2 linked regions of the Caenorhabditis elegans genome follow. The protein of the gene in region 1 purifies or fractionates together with the protein of each later gene. This does not show direct contact. Each region holds a gene or a part of one and is shown in the gene's direction. Other genes may lie near its edges.

What was found. Proteins that work in one complex are often made in the same cells at the same time.
Region 2: the proteins of rbg-1 (region 1) and snt-1 purify together in Caenorhabditis elegans (affinity purification with western blotting, with the first as the bait; one study listed by BioGRID). This does not show direct contact.

What each region holds. Positions count from the first base shown.
Region 1 is NC_003284.9:14,981,552-14,987,868, forward strand, and holds rbg-1 (Rab3 GTPase-activating protein catalytic subunit), read left to right. Parts: upstream 1-1,981; 5' UTR 1,982-2,009; coding exon 2,010-2,144; intron 2,145-2,202; coding exon 2,203-2,292; intron 2,293-2,368; coding exon 2,369-2,521; intron 2,522-2,569; coding exon 2,570-2,688; intron 2,689-2,734; coding exon 2,735-2,825; intron 2,826-2,892; coding exon 2,893-3,033; intron 3,034-3,082; coding exon 3,083-3,165; intron 3,166-3,220; coding exon 3,221-3,369; intron 3,370-3,416; coding exon 3,417-3,619; intron 3,620-3,676; coding exon 3,677-4,035; intron 4,036-4,082; coding exon 4,083-4,213; intron 4,214-4,260; coding exon 4,261-4,712; intron 4,713-4,924; coding exon 4,925-5,200; intron 5,201-5,257; coding exon 5,258-5,469; intron 5,470-5,527; coding exon 5,528-5,681; 3' UTR 5,682-5,814; downstream 5,815-6,317. Other genes in the region: plp-2 (DUF3467 domain-containing protein), read right to left, coding at 589-1,072, 1,159-1,253; iglr-1 (Ig-like domain-containing protein), read right to left, coding at 5,911-5,943, 6,000-6,174, 6,233-6,317. UniProt on the Caenorhabditis elegans protein: Probable catalytic subunit of a GTPase activating protein that has specificity for Rab3 subfamily. Rab3 proteins are involved in regulated exocytosis of neurotransmitters and hormones. Specifically converts active Rab3-GTP to the inactive form Rab3-GDP.
Region 2 is NC_003280.10:6,809,013-6,816,502, forward strand, and holds snt-1 (C2 domain-containing protein), read left to right. Parts: upstream 1-1,955; coding exon 1,956-2,071; intron 2,072-2,876; coding exon 2,877-2,974; intron 2,975-4,070; coding exon 4,071-4,252; intron 4,253-5,078; coding exon 5,079-5,549; intron 5,550-5,847; coding exon 5,848-5,965; intron 5,966-6,035; coding exon 6,036-6,175; intron 6,176-6,291; coding exon of another isoform or gene 6,292-6,425; intron 6,426-6,510; coding exon 6,511-6,614; intron 6,615-6,864; coding exon 6,865-6,967; downstream 6,968-7,490. UniProt on the Caenorhabditis elegans protein: May have a regulatory role in the membrane interactions during trafficking of synaptic vesicles at the active zone of the synapse. It binds acidic phospholipids with a specificity that requires the presence of both an acidic head group and a diacyl backbone.

The sequences.
Region 1 (6,317 bases):
TCTTATTAAGCTTCAGCTTATAGAGAATAGTCGTTTTTCCGGCTCCATCTCAACCGAGCATCAATGTACGACATTCGATATTTGGAAACATGAAGGAAGAAATTTTAGAGAAGAATAAGCCCATTTTGAACGAAAAATACTTTTTGAAAATGCAGAATACGATATTCTTGAAGCTATGTCGACAATCAGAGTTATTTTATCATGGAGTTATCATGGGGCTCCACGTTCCAGCTAGTGAGTTGGCCGTTTTTTGCGTGTTTTAATTTCTGTTGGAAGAAAGTTATTACGAAATATTTGTTCACTTAGTCAGACCCGCCCTTTTCTGGTTTCGCAACAGGTGTTTGATAAGGAAACGTAACTTTCCCTGGCAAGAATAACTATAATATTAATAATTAAGACACGAATTTCCCGAGAATTTATTAGAGATCAATAAACTTGATGCTTAAATAAATAAATAAACGAAACAGGTAGAGTGAAAATACAGGAACACAGCAGTTTAGAAAAATAGGTAAAATCTTTACAAGCAAATGCAGTAAAGATTTGGAGGAATTTTTTGGGAGACTATCGAGTTCGAAAGATGTTATGCAATTACGATTGTTTTTTTGCAGAGAAAACATGTAGATCACTACTTTCCTTGGTTGGCGATGATGTTATCCAACTCTTTGCGGAAATCGACGAGTGCGGACATTGGAACGGTGATTGCGTTACGATAGCCGCTGTTGAGTTTGATCTGAATATAAAATTAGAATAAACTTCTATTTGACACAAAATTATTTCCTCCGAGATGCGAACAAACTCTCCACGATCGTTCTTTCCGGAATGGAAAAGGAACGTTCTGTTTTCAGCAGTGATTTTTGGAGTGTTGGTGTTCTCCTGTTCGTGTCCCTCTCCGAACTTGGCCAAATATTCGGTTAGCACCTTATGAATTTCGGCGATTCCATCGGATGGAATGGCGATTTGTTGGCGAGTTTGACGTGGGTTCATCGGAGCAATGCGCAAAAAGCGACCACGATCATTTTCCTTCAGATCGACGTAGAATTTTCTCTGATTTGATGAGAGAGCTTTCCTTTGGCTGAAATTTAATATTGCATTAAAAATGTGAATTTATTTTCGGCAATCAAAACTTAAGTGTCACGTGGCAACAGACCATAAGCTTACCTGCAATACGGGCTTCTGGACTCCCCTTGCGGCTTTCGCGCTCCATTGATAATCGCTTGCCGTACACCGCGTGGAAAAGCGCGTGTACTCCACATGGGTAAATATTTTCATTTTATTTACAATAAACTTGTTTAAAAGCTGCAGATTTTGCTCGAAATTTTACGCGACTTCAAATTGGGTAATTGAACCAACGATATACTCGGATCAACAGACATATTTTTTTTTTTTGGGAAAGTTTTTTTTTGAGTAGAATGGACTGCAAAAAGGGTGCATTTAAGTTCAAATTACTTAGTTTTTAATTTACCGTGATTTTATTTCATAAAACAAAGTTAGATTTTCCAAACATGTTCGCTTTCAAAAATTAGTTTTTTTTAAAATTCATGTTCACATTTTAATTTAGGTCATCAGTATTTTTGACTTTTGTCAAAAATAAAAACAGTCGGTACTCTGATTACAACCCTTGATGGAATGTTTTCTAGAAAAAAATGTATCGGATTTTTGCAAAACAAGCACGAAAACAAATAACAAAGTACTCGAAACTTTGGTCAAAACACTTTTTTTTCCTAGATGTGTCCAAATTTTCAACAGTTCAGCAGCAAACACAGCTTGGTAATTTTTGAAGTTTTTCATACATAGACTTTTTCTTAATAAACGATTTCTGTTTTTTTTTCCTTATGAAAGCAACCGAAAAATCGATATAAACCACCTCACACCTCTCAGGCCCATCCGTCCTTCCCCCTTCTTTTGTTTACGTGCTGACGTCACAATGCAATTGCGCTCTATTGAACGTCTATCGTCTCACGAGACCATTCTCATTTTGCAGTGCCAAACCTTCATTTCCTGTCGTTCCAATGGCGGAAATCGAGGAAAACACAGTTTTCGAGATAAATGACTTCACAATTGTCACCGATATGGAGCACTTCGGTGCAGCATTTGAAGGAATTCTTCAGAAATACGAGTTTTCCAGTCGCCGACCGTGTTTATCGGTGAGTTTTTTGAGTTTTTGTTTTTTTCAAACATTAATCAGTAAAAATTTATGTTCAGAATGATGTGAAGTACCGGTTGATTGTGACGGACACAAATATGATTTCGATTGGAGAGAACAAGCTAAGAATCGAGTTATTGCAGCCAGTTGTGAGTTTTTTGCAAAATGAACAAGAAACTATATAAACTAAATATAAAAATTATAAAATGCAAAAAAGTTTTTCAGCCAGCTTCATCGAATCCTTCAAATGACGTGGAGTTTGTGGAAGCTCCAAAAGATGAGATTGAAGAAGACGCCCACGTTATTCCATTCACTGTTGCCGAGGAAGTTGCCAACCTCAAGCATGGATTCGAAGTCACCGATAGCTTTTTGCTAAAGGTTAGTGTTTTGAAAATCGAAATGAACAATTAAACTTTAAAATTTCAGTTTGGCATTCGCGAATGCATTATCATCTCTCCAAATGACAGCTCTGGTACATTCACCGACGAGAATCAAGTGAACACCGTTATGGGAAATATCAAAACAATATTGCACTCAAGTAGATGGTATGTGAAACTGTGATTTGTTATTAATTTGGTTTTTAAATTCCAGTGAGGTCCCAGTGTTCTGCTACATCAAGGACCAAAGCTTGGACATGATTTCTGGGTACGCGTCGGATGGAAATTCTACGTATAACTTTTCGGTGAGTTTTTATTTATGAATATAGCTTTTTTTATTTAAAAATGCCTATCACAACAAAATATTTGCAGTCCGTTGTTCTCCGAAACATTAACCGAAGACACTGCAGTATGACCGATCTGCTTTACTTGTTCAAAGAGCATCTTGGAGCTAGCATCTCGGCGTTTCATGAGGAAGTTCGCATGAGCTCTAGATTCACACATGTTGTTCCGGTAGGAAGCGTTGGCTCATTTTCTTAAAATTGTAATGTATAATTTTCAGTTGAAACAAAGTAAGTATTTCCGGAATCATACTGTCGAAACTTTTGGTCTTCTCGCGACTGGACCAACATCAAGTTTGCCGTTGTAAGAACTCGAACTCAAACTTTCAAACTGAAAAAAAAAACAATTAAAATTTCAGCGATATACTTGAAATTGCTGCCACGTGGCGTTTCTTCCGTGAAAACTCATTGACTGAGAACCATAGTCATTCAGATTTTGATATCAACTATTCTTCGTATTGGAATATCAAAATGAAGTCGACTAAAAGTTCATTGCTGGGAGTACTTGGTGAGCTACACTTATCTGATTAATTGTGAACTAACAATATTTTTTAGATGAAATTCTTGGCGTCTACCGAGAAGACACCAGAAAAGCAATCCGTAGCGACCTTAATTGTGCACTGATTCTTGGGAAACACTACACACAAAAAGAGCTTCCAAATGCATTCCAAAAGCTCACTATCAACTCAGCGTCTGAGGTGAAAATTGGGAAGCATGCAGAGACGGAGGATAGTGGAACCAATGGACCAATGCCGCCGGTTAGTTAAACGACAAAATTTTCTAGTGGTAAACGTAATTATCCTATTCATTTTCAGGCTCTGATGAAATCTTGGGTCAACTTCATCTTCAACGAAGCGGAGTCCGACAACGAGTCCTTGGCTCACGAGCTCAATATGTTGAATGCTGCTAGTATGTCGGAGAACCAATTGTCAGATGACGAGCTGGTGAACAACGTCAAGTTGGATACTCTTTTCAATTATAAGAATCCCAAATCAGCGAACACCTTCCTTGCTCCGTACAAGTGTGCAAAGAAGTCAACTGTTACATGGAGATTGGCAATTGCCTTGGCAAATGCGAGAGTTTTTATGAGTGATCAACCACGTGCCGAGCCGCAGTTATGGGTTGAGTTTCTGCTGAAACTTCGCGAGAAGTACGAGAAAATGGAAACTGTCGAGTAAGCAAGGTTCAGTTGTAAAAATGGTAATTAGCAATGTTTTTCAGAAAAGTCTACAACGGAATTGATCACTTGCAATGCTCATTTTCACAGAAAATGCAAATGCTCCAGTTATGCATTGATGCTCGCCAGAAGCGCCACAGAATGCTTGACTCTGCTCATAGTGCCAATAATTCTGGTAAGTTTCAGACACCACTAGTGCAAAAGTTAGAAATCTAGTTTCAGATGAATTCTTTGACGCGAATGAAAGTTTCAATGCTGAAACAATTCTTGAACCGAACAACGAAGGACGCCTCAAACTATTTGGACTGAACCTTGTCGAGATTCCAGACGTGCCCATGTATATTCCAGTCACACAAGATGCTTGCCCACTCACTGATGAGATGATAGATGCTCGAAATGAGCACCTGTTCAGTCTTGACGAGGAAGATCGCGTGCACCTGCAAATGGAACTTGTGAAAAGTGATATGCAAAGCTTCAAGGCTGCAAATGCTGGAGCTGTTTTTGCTGACTTTCTGAGATGGCATTCGCCAAAAGATTATGATGAGAAAACAAATACAATCTCAGAGAGAATGTTGATTTCTAATAATGTGTGGGTGAGAAGCTGGGAAGCTGCACTACCGATTCCGGTGGCCAATCAAGCAAGGATTTTCAATGACACAAAAATTGCAGAAGAGGTTTGTGTAAAACTTTGGAATTCTTGAGAACTGAACTTGAAATTTAAGTTTTTGTCTGACGCATTTTTTTGCAATCGTTCGTTTATACGGTGTAGGTGTCTATTTTACAGTACTTATGCGGCCGGAAGGTATATTTCTTATCAGAGTAAATATTTTGTCTTCTACCTTCGGGTAGATAATTTCGGTTCAATGGACATCGTTTATTTTTTCAGATACTCGAAATATTCAACAACGCAACTCTCGATCAAGTTCGCGAATGGATGAAGCCAACCGTGTTTGCAGCCACGTTAGAACGCCTCACAGAAATCGAGAGCAGCTATGGCGTGTCTGAGGAGAAACAAAAGCAGCGGACCAAGACAGCCAAAATTCTAGCAAACGCGACGCTCAACAACACTCCAATGGATTACAATGAAATTTCCAAGTACTGTAGCCAGATCGAAATGATTCATAACATGAAGGTCCACTTGATGCAACTTTTCGAAAATGCTGTGAGTTTGGAATTTTTTGGGTTTTCATTTGATTTCTTTTATAAGTTAAATCTTCAGAGAGAAAAAATGCACCCGCCATATCCATCGGAAACTGATGTTCAAAGCGCAATCAAACAATTGGTGAACATTGCTGTACATAACCTTTGGGATAATTCTACTGATGAGGAGCCGACGTTTGTCATCAAGCCACAGGATCCGATTGGAAGAGCTATAGCTGTAATTGGAAAACTTGATGAGCTCACGGAGCAGCAACTGATTAATGGGCACAGGTAATGAGCACTATAATCCTTGATCCTGAATCATAGATAATTCGCTGCTTTTTTCCAGAAAAGAGTACATCTTCAACTGGAAGCACAGCTGCCCGTCAACCACAACAATCCCCATGACACACCGAATGTATGCTGACTTGCGATCCGACAAGCACAGCCTATACTTTTCCATGGCCAACGACTGCAATTTCTCCAACTCGTCATATTTGTAAATTGAATTTAAAGCATCTACTGGTCTCTGACATTCTCACACTTTGATTCTTCAGCCCCCGAGCTAAACAATTTTGATATTCCCGTTGAATTATAGGGGAAATGTACATGTTTTGTAAATAAAGTGAATGTAATAATGGCATGGATTTTATTCGTAATTTACAAATTGAAAATACATCAAAAGAAAATACCCGTTTCAAAGTGAGAATTATTTTGTGATACTATACACAATCAAAGAAGAGGGTGTTCTGAGGCTGATGTAACCTAAAAAAATAATATATGTTTTAGATAGTTTGCATTGTAAAATTTCGTAAACTTACACTCAGCTGAAAATTCTCGTAAGTTGTTGCATCCGCAGATGATGACTGAGTGAGCATCGACTGTCCCGATACGGACTGCTGCATTTTTGCATTTTTCTTGATGCGAGAAAAATATGCGACTTTTTGATGAATACATGTGTCACAACAGAATACGACAACGATGATCAGTATTATTCTGAAAATTGTGATGTGAAAAGTGCTTCACTCTCGTAAGTCTCGTAAGAAAAACTCACATCAAGGCGATTGCCAATTTTGCATTCAAACTCTGCATGACAGTTTTGAAGGGCTTCGTTTTTTGACTGATGCAGGAGCTATAGA
Region 2 (7,490 bases), on another chromosome or scaffold:
AAATGATATTTTCATATCGAGTTTTTTCAAAATCAGTTTGGTTTTGTTGGATATTGTTCAAAACGCATTTTGCCCAAAAAATAAATATTGAAACTTTACAAACATTATTTGTAGCCCCGTTCCATGCCTATTCCTATTTTCCGTTAAAAGCCAAAAATACAAATAAAAATGAAAAATCTGTTTTTCGAACAATGGTATTTTGGTCTCATCACACTTTTGACTCTTCTCAATTATGCTTCGAAATAGGAACGAATTCAAATTTAACTAATGGCACTTGGGGTGCATCTTCTTTTGAAACAGAAAACTGACCTTTCACCCAAATGAAAATTACATGAGCTTGTGAAGATGACACAGGTCAGTAAAAAGAAAAAAGTGCGTGGGTATTTCTTTCTCCATAATTCTTGAAATTTCATTGGAGATATTTTGAAGAGGTGGGCTCATCTAAACATTAAGCTTAAGATTTTTGAAATATTTGAAAGACCCAAAATAACTTACACAATCTTTTCAACAAAAAAAACTGTCATGAATTTTTATTTCTGAAAAGTCTCCAACATTGTCGACAAAGGAATTGATTTTTAATGTCTTCAAATAATTTAGAAGCCGACAAATCAAAACTGTTGATGCCCTTCGCTCATCTCTGATTTATCATCGTATTTCTCAATTTCCCGCGAAGTTCGAATTTAGACATGTTCCAAGGTCTCCGAAACTTTTCACCCCAGAACATCATACAAATATTTTATACAAGCTTGAAAAAATGTTACTAAGAAATTTTATCTCCAGCAACCTAACATATAGTTACTAGAAACATTGTTGGCTGCCAAGTTCTGAGAAACACTACAATTTTTAAAGTTTTTCCGAAAACTTTTTTAAATCTTTAAGTAACTTATCCATTCTCTCAGTTCTTGAAATATGTTAGTGACAAGTTTTAAATATTTTTCCCAAGCCTATCTTGCAAAACTCCTGAATTAGAATCATTATTCAAAGCCATGGGAAAATCAAGAATGCAACCACCACCGCAAATGCTCGATGTGAGCTTTCCCCAAAATTTGCATCCTCTACAACACTTCTTTTTCACCTGCCCTCCGAAAGAGCACCTCTTCTCTTCTTTTTTTTGCTCTGACGACGACATCTAACAAAAAATCAATTTTTTTTCGTTTTTCCAAGCGGTCCTTTCGTGTAGTCGACCCATTCGTATTATCATTCGATGCTTTTTCACTTCTTATTTTTCGTCGCTTTTGAATTGCATATAGCGTGTTTATCGCAACGAAAAACAGACAAAAAAGAAAGCAAATATGCAAAAACAAAAAAATACGAAGCCAATAAAAAATATCTATCTTCAATTGGAATTCGAATTTTCAATTCAAATTCAAACCTACTAAAACCTACTATTTTCCATAATTATAGATTCTCAAAGGTCTCCAAAGGAATGAGCCAAGAACAAAAAGTTGAGGAGAATACTGCACATTTCCCTTTCTATAACTTTTTCAAGATCTACTAAGATTTTTGACCCTTGGGATCCTCAAAGTTTTCAAAAAGTAATCCTGCTCTTCTCTAAATGACGTTTTTTTTTTTGTTTTCATCTGTTCAAAAAACCCCTTAACTAGTCGTCATTCTTGCCCTTGAATAATAGGATAATATGATTAATCTAATGTCATAATAATCTCCTCTTCGTCTCCCATATTTTTTCCCATACAAGGATTTCATTTTTACATCCGTGTTTCTCGTATCAGAATGTATTCTTCTTCTGGAAAAGTAAACAGACTCCTACATCTCTCGCCTCTTTCTGAAAAATTCTAATTATTTCGCTTCTGTAAACACATTTTCATCCGGGGTTTGCCTATTTTCCCATTCGACCCCCGACTCCGCCTCTTCATTCTCTCACGGAACCCTTTTCTTCGACGCTTTGCATCTTGATTTACCTCTGATTTCATTTATCAATCAAACTTTCAGTCACCATGGTGAAATTAGACTTTTCGTCGCAAGACGAAGAGAACGACGAAGACTTGACAAAAGAGTTTGTAAGGGATGAAGCACCAATGGAAGAAACAACATCGGAAGCAGTAAAGCAAATGTAAGTAGAAAAAGAAAAGAGCCATAATCTTTTAGAGATTGTATCTTTCTTTCCTAGACACACTCAGAAAATGAAAACTTTTGAGTTTCCAGTTCAAAGAACTAACAAAACCTGCGACAAATATTATGGAAAATGCCAAAAATTTGAAACCCCAAAAATATTAATTAATTAAATATTAAAAAATATTAATATCAGAAAACCTGAATTCTATATTTTTTGAAACAAACTAAAAATCGAGTAAAAAGGGGCAGCACTAATAAGAGAGGTACAGCCAGTAGAATCGACTAATCTAAATTCGCCTCTAACTTAAAGTTTTGAAATTTACTGGAAAAATTGTTCGGCACCCGGTGTCCCTTCAAGCTCAACTTATAAAAAAAATAAGCTTGATTTTAAATTAATTGTCAAATCTTTGCTGAGGCCGTTCTAAGCATTGCCCAATTTCGGTACACCTTTTAGCAATGTTTCGGCAAATCATTCTCAGGAATTACCAACTGGTTATATTTTTTATGTTGATCGTTCAAATTTTATGATGATTCAAATATTTTTTGGCTTCACTGCGACATTATTTATCTTCATATAAATTTTAAACGATTATTTTAATCTGCTAAGGGGAAGAAAACAGAAGAAAAGAAAAAACGACAAACCATAAAAGAAACGAGAAAAATCATATAAAATATGAAATCTGTGGGCGCTCATAAACATGCGATGTGATGTCATGATCGATTCATGAAGGAACAAATGTTGTTCATTTTCGATTGATTTATTGCATTCTGTGAATTTTTAAACAAAAATAAAATAATTTCAGAGCAACAACGACAAAGGAGACGCTGAAAGATGTGGTTGTAAATAAAGTGATTGATGTGAAAGACGTTGTGAAAGAAAAGGTTATGCAACAAACTGGGAGTGAGTCATTAATTATTGGTTGGAGAAAAATTGAAAGAAATAAACCTGAAGTTACCAAAACCCCTTAATCTTTTTATTTACTGAATAATCAATACAACTGTAATTGATTTTTGGTTCTCAATTTCGTTTTGAATTTTCGAAATATTTTGAATATTCCCAAACTCTTGAATCTCAACAAAATTTCATTGAAACAGAAAACCACAACATTGCTATATTACTATGATTGTGATTAAGCTTTTTTCGATGATCTTTTATATATTTTTTACCAGAAACTTTGAATTCTTGTAGACAGAAATATAGAATTTATAACAACCGGTGTCATTTTTCAAGCTGACGTCATTGGTCTAATATAATAGTACCGTTTTCATTAAAATTCCTGGAAATTTTCATACAAAGTGTTCATGTATACTCTTTCTCAAATTTTCTCATTGTCTTTCGGGGATCTAAAATCGTTTTTTTTTCTTCCAAAAAAACTGGATGCTCCATCCGTTTCACAGCTTCAGGCTGTGTCGATTGTAATTTGATATTTGGCTACCACGACAGCCTTTCTCTCTTTTTCCTTCTATTCCTCCCCATGCGCTGAATATTTTAGATTTTTTACTTTTCGAGTATTGAAAAGAAGAGAAAGTAGTAACCAGAATTGACGTGTATAGAAAGATGGCCCCAGAAAAGAAGAGCATGTGCCAAAAAAGTGGTAGATGTCCCTAGGGAGAGACGAAAAATTAGTAGAAAAAGAGAGATAGAGAAGTAAAAGCATGAAGAACAATAACACATTCATCACTGGACACTAAAAAAGTAGTTCGTTTATGAGTTGGCGGCTCCAATGCTCCAATGGACAACAAATACTGGTGACGAAAATAATTAGGATAGGGAAAAGAGATATTCTTTGGGGAATAAATATTATAGAGATATGCAAAAAATAAATAAATACATACATCTATTAATAACTTATAGATTTCAATTAAATAGTAAACAAAAACAAAAAAAAAGTATAGAGAAAAAAAACAGCTGAAAGTGAATTTAATATTAAAGTAAAGTTGGTTTATTTTCTATTTTTCTCTCAACTTTTTCATATCCCTTTTTACGAGAATTTCAGTGCCTGAATGGGCGTTCGTATTTCTTGGATTCGTATTTATTCTGCTGGTTCTCGCGTGTGCATTCTGTCTCATTCGGAAGTTATTTGGAAAAAAGCGGCATGGTGAGAAGAACAAAAAGGGTGGATTGAAAGGATTCTTTGGTAAAGGACAGGATGTCGTTGATGGAAAAAATATTCAAGGGGTATGTTTTTGAAATGAAAAATAATGATGAAAAACAAGGAAGGAAATATAATAAGTTACGGAATACCGTATTCGAGCGACTTTGCGAAACCAAACATGTAAACTTGGTTATGATAATCTAGAGCTCCCATGTATGCATGGAGGTGCAAGAGTATAATAGGCACGTAGGTAGGCAGGCAATTTTTTGCAAGTGACTCCAGGCATGCAAATGTCTTATTTCTGGATTTCTTCCTTGGATTTCTTGGTATTGTTCTAATTTTTAGTTTTTGATTCTTAGGAAAATTTTATCAAGAATTTTACAAAAAAAAATTCCCGACTTTTTTGAAAACAAAAATCCTTGATCTAACTCATTTCCTAGAGTTAAACCTAAAACATTTTACTTGGATTTTTTTGAAAAACTTTTTATCGGGATTTTGAACCTACGAATTTTTGAATCTCGTTTATTGCTAAAACATTTTTTTAGCCAACCTTGCTGAACTCTTCCTAATTTTATAGCCCCTCGAGGTAACTAATTGTAAAAGTTGAAAACATAAATAACGATTGTCTCGGTTTTTGAAATAAGTAGTACAAAGTTTTGATTTCTCTTAAGATTGGAATACAAATAAATTACTAACTGTCGTTCTAACTGGAGTTCAATGAAACAAATTATTGTTCTAATAATTGTTTTTGAGAGCATGCATATTTTTAAAATAGCGATCAGAATCTCTTGGGGAATATGTCAGAATCAGTAATAGAATTTCCAAACGATGACGACAGAATTTTCATCAAAATAGATTAAACATCAGTGTTGTCTAGTTTGATTTTGATAATTGTATAATTAATTTCAGATGGCTCAAGACTTGGAAGAACTTGGTGATGCGATGGAACAAAATGAAAAAGAACAAGCTGAAGAAAAAGAAGAAGTGAAACTTGGAAGGATACAATATAAACTTGATTATGATTTCCAACAAGGTCAACTAACTGTAACTGTAATTCAAGCAGAAGATTTACCAGGAATGGACATGTCAGGAACATCAGATCCATATGTAAAATTGTATTTGTTACCGGAGAAAAAGAAGAAGGTTGAGACGAAAGTACATCGAAAAACTCTTAATCCAGTATTCAATGAGACATTCATTTTTAAAGTCGCTTTCAACGAAATTACGGCAAAAACTCTTGTCTTTGCAATTTATGATTTCGATCGGTTCAGTAAGCACGATCAAATCGGACAAGTTCTCATTCCGCTTGGAAAAATTGATTTGGGAGCTGTTATCGAAGAATGGAAGGATATTGCACCACCACCAGATGACAAAGAAGCTGTAAGTTTTGTTTTTTTTAAATGTTAATTGAATTATCAAAAAGTAATTGAGAAATAGAAGCACCGTCTATGTAGAAACGAATCAGTTCAGTTGAAAATCTACTTCCAAAGTACACTATTTCAAATATTTATAAATACAACAATATAAATTTGAGAGCTATAACACCTATTATCCTTCCAGACGTAAAAAAATTTACAATGCGATTCTTTCTGACCTCACATTCTTTAATAGCGAATTCGAAATACTTTAATCATTTTTTTGACAACCCAAAAACCAAAAACAAATTCTAAAAATTCAGGAGAAGAGTCTTGGTGACATTTGCTTCTCACTTCGGTACGTCCCAACTGCTGGTAAATTGACAGTGGTCATTCTGGAAGCAAAAAATCTTAAGAAAATGGACGTCGGTGGTTTATCAGGTAACTTTTTTTTAATTAAAAAAATTATTGATCCTAATTCTAACAAAAATCTAAACTTTAAAATTATAAGATCCATATGTGAAATTGGAAATGTTCGGAGAAGATAGAAAACGATTGAAAAAGAAGAAAACGAATATCAAACGGAAAACTTTGAATCCATATTTTAATGAGAGTTTTGTATTTGACAAATTGCCATTGCATAAAATGAAGGTGATCTGGGAATTCATAAATTTGCGCTGAAACTAAACTATTCTATATCCCCAAATATTGCTGGCTTTAACCTTTCTAACTAAATCTAACATTTCATTTTCTGGGGTAATTTTCAGATCCTTATGTGAAGATTGTGTTGATGCAAGGTGGAAAACGACTGAAAAAGAAGAAGACATCAATCAAAAAGTGTACACTTAACCCATATTATAACGAATCGTTCAGCTTTGAAGTGCCTTTCGAACAAATTCAGGTGGCTTTTTCTAACATGTCTTTCTAACTTTTTCATTCAACTTCGAGACGATTTTTGAATATTTATTTTTTTTTAATATTTGCAGAAAGTTTCCCTTATGATCACTGTGATGGATTATGATAAACTTGGATCCAATGACGCTATTGGAAGGTGTCTATTGGGATGTAATGGAACCGGTGCCGAGCTGAGGTTTGCTTTTGTTTTTTTTTTTTAATAATTTTTTAAATGAAAGTCTAAAAATTCTTGCAAGTGACCACAGAAATATGGGTTTATTTTTAAAAGTGTTAACTGGTGACATATACATTTTGATAATTGGAAGTTCTAAGAAGTTTGGTTTATTTTTTTCAATTTTTCATAAATCTAATGTGATACCGAGACCATAAACAATGTTGCGAAATTCCTTTATCAACCTAAACAAAAGTATTCCAACTATTTCCAGGCATTGGATGGATATGTTGGCTTCACCACGTCGTCCAATTGCTCAATGGCATACACTTGGACCAGTTGAAGAAGAAGGTGATAAGAAAGATGATAAGAAATAAATGTATGACTTTATCATTTTTTTTAAATTTAAATGCCTTATTCAATCTAAATTTTTCACTTTTTTTTAATTCAAAGAGATATTATTTTTCCTGCTTGTCCTTTTTCGTTCAAAGTTTCAATTTCCCGATGTACATAGGATCTAGTCGCTGTGAAAATCCATGCATCAAATATTTTTATTTTATTTTTTTATAATGCAATGTGTAGAAATGAGTAGCAATTGTCAGTGCCAAGGCGGTGATTTAAATATTAATCTCTCTTTGTTTTCACTCTTCCAACATGTTCCTTATATACTCGAATTCAGAGTTTCTCCTTTTCTTAATTTATTTAACTTTTCCAATTTATTTATTCGTTAGATGTCTATTTTTTGGAAATTTGTGTTTTTTTCTGTCAATCTTGCTGACATAATTAAATTGCATCGTTTACACATTTTTCTTTTTGGTAAATAAATAACTTCTAAAACTGATTTTATAAAAAATATTTGATGTTTTGTTTCAAAACTATTTGATGTGCTGCAGATTGGAA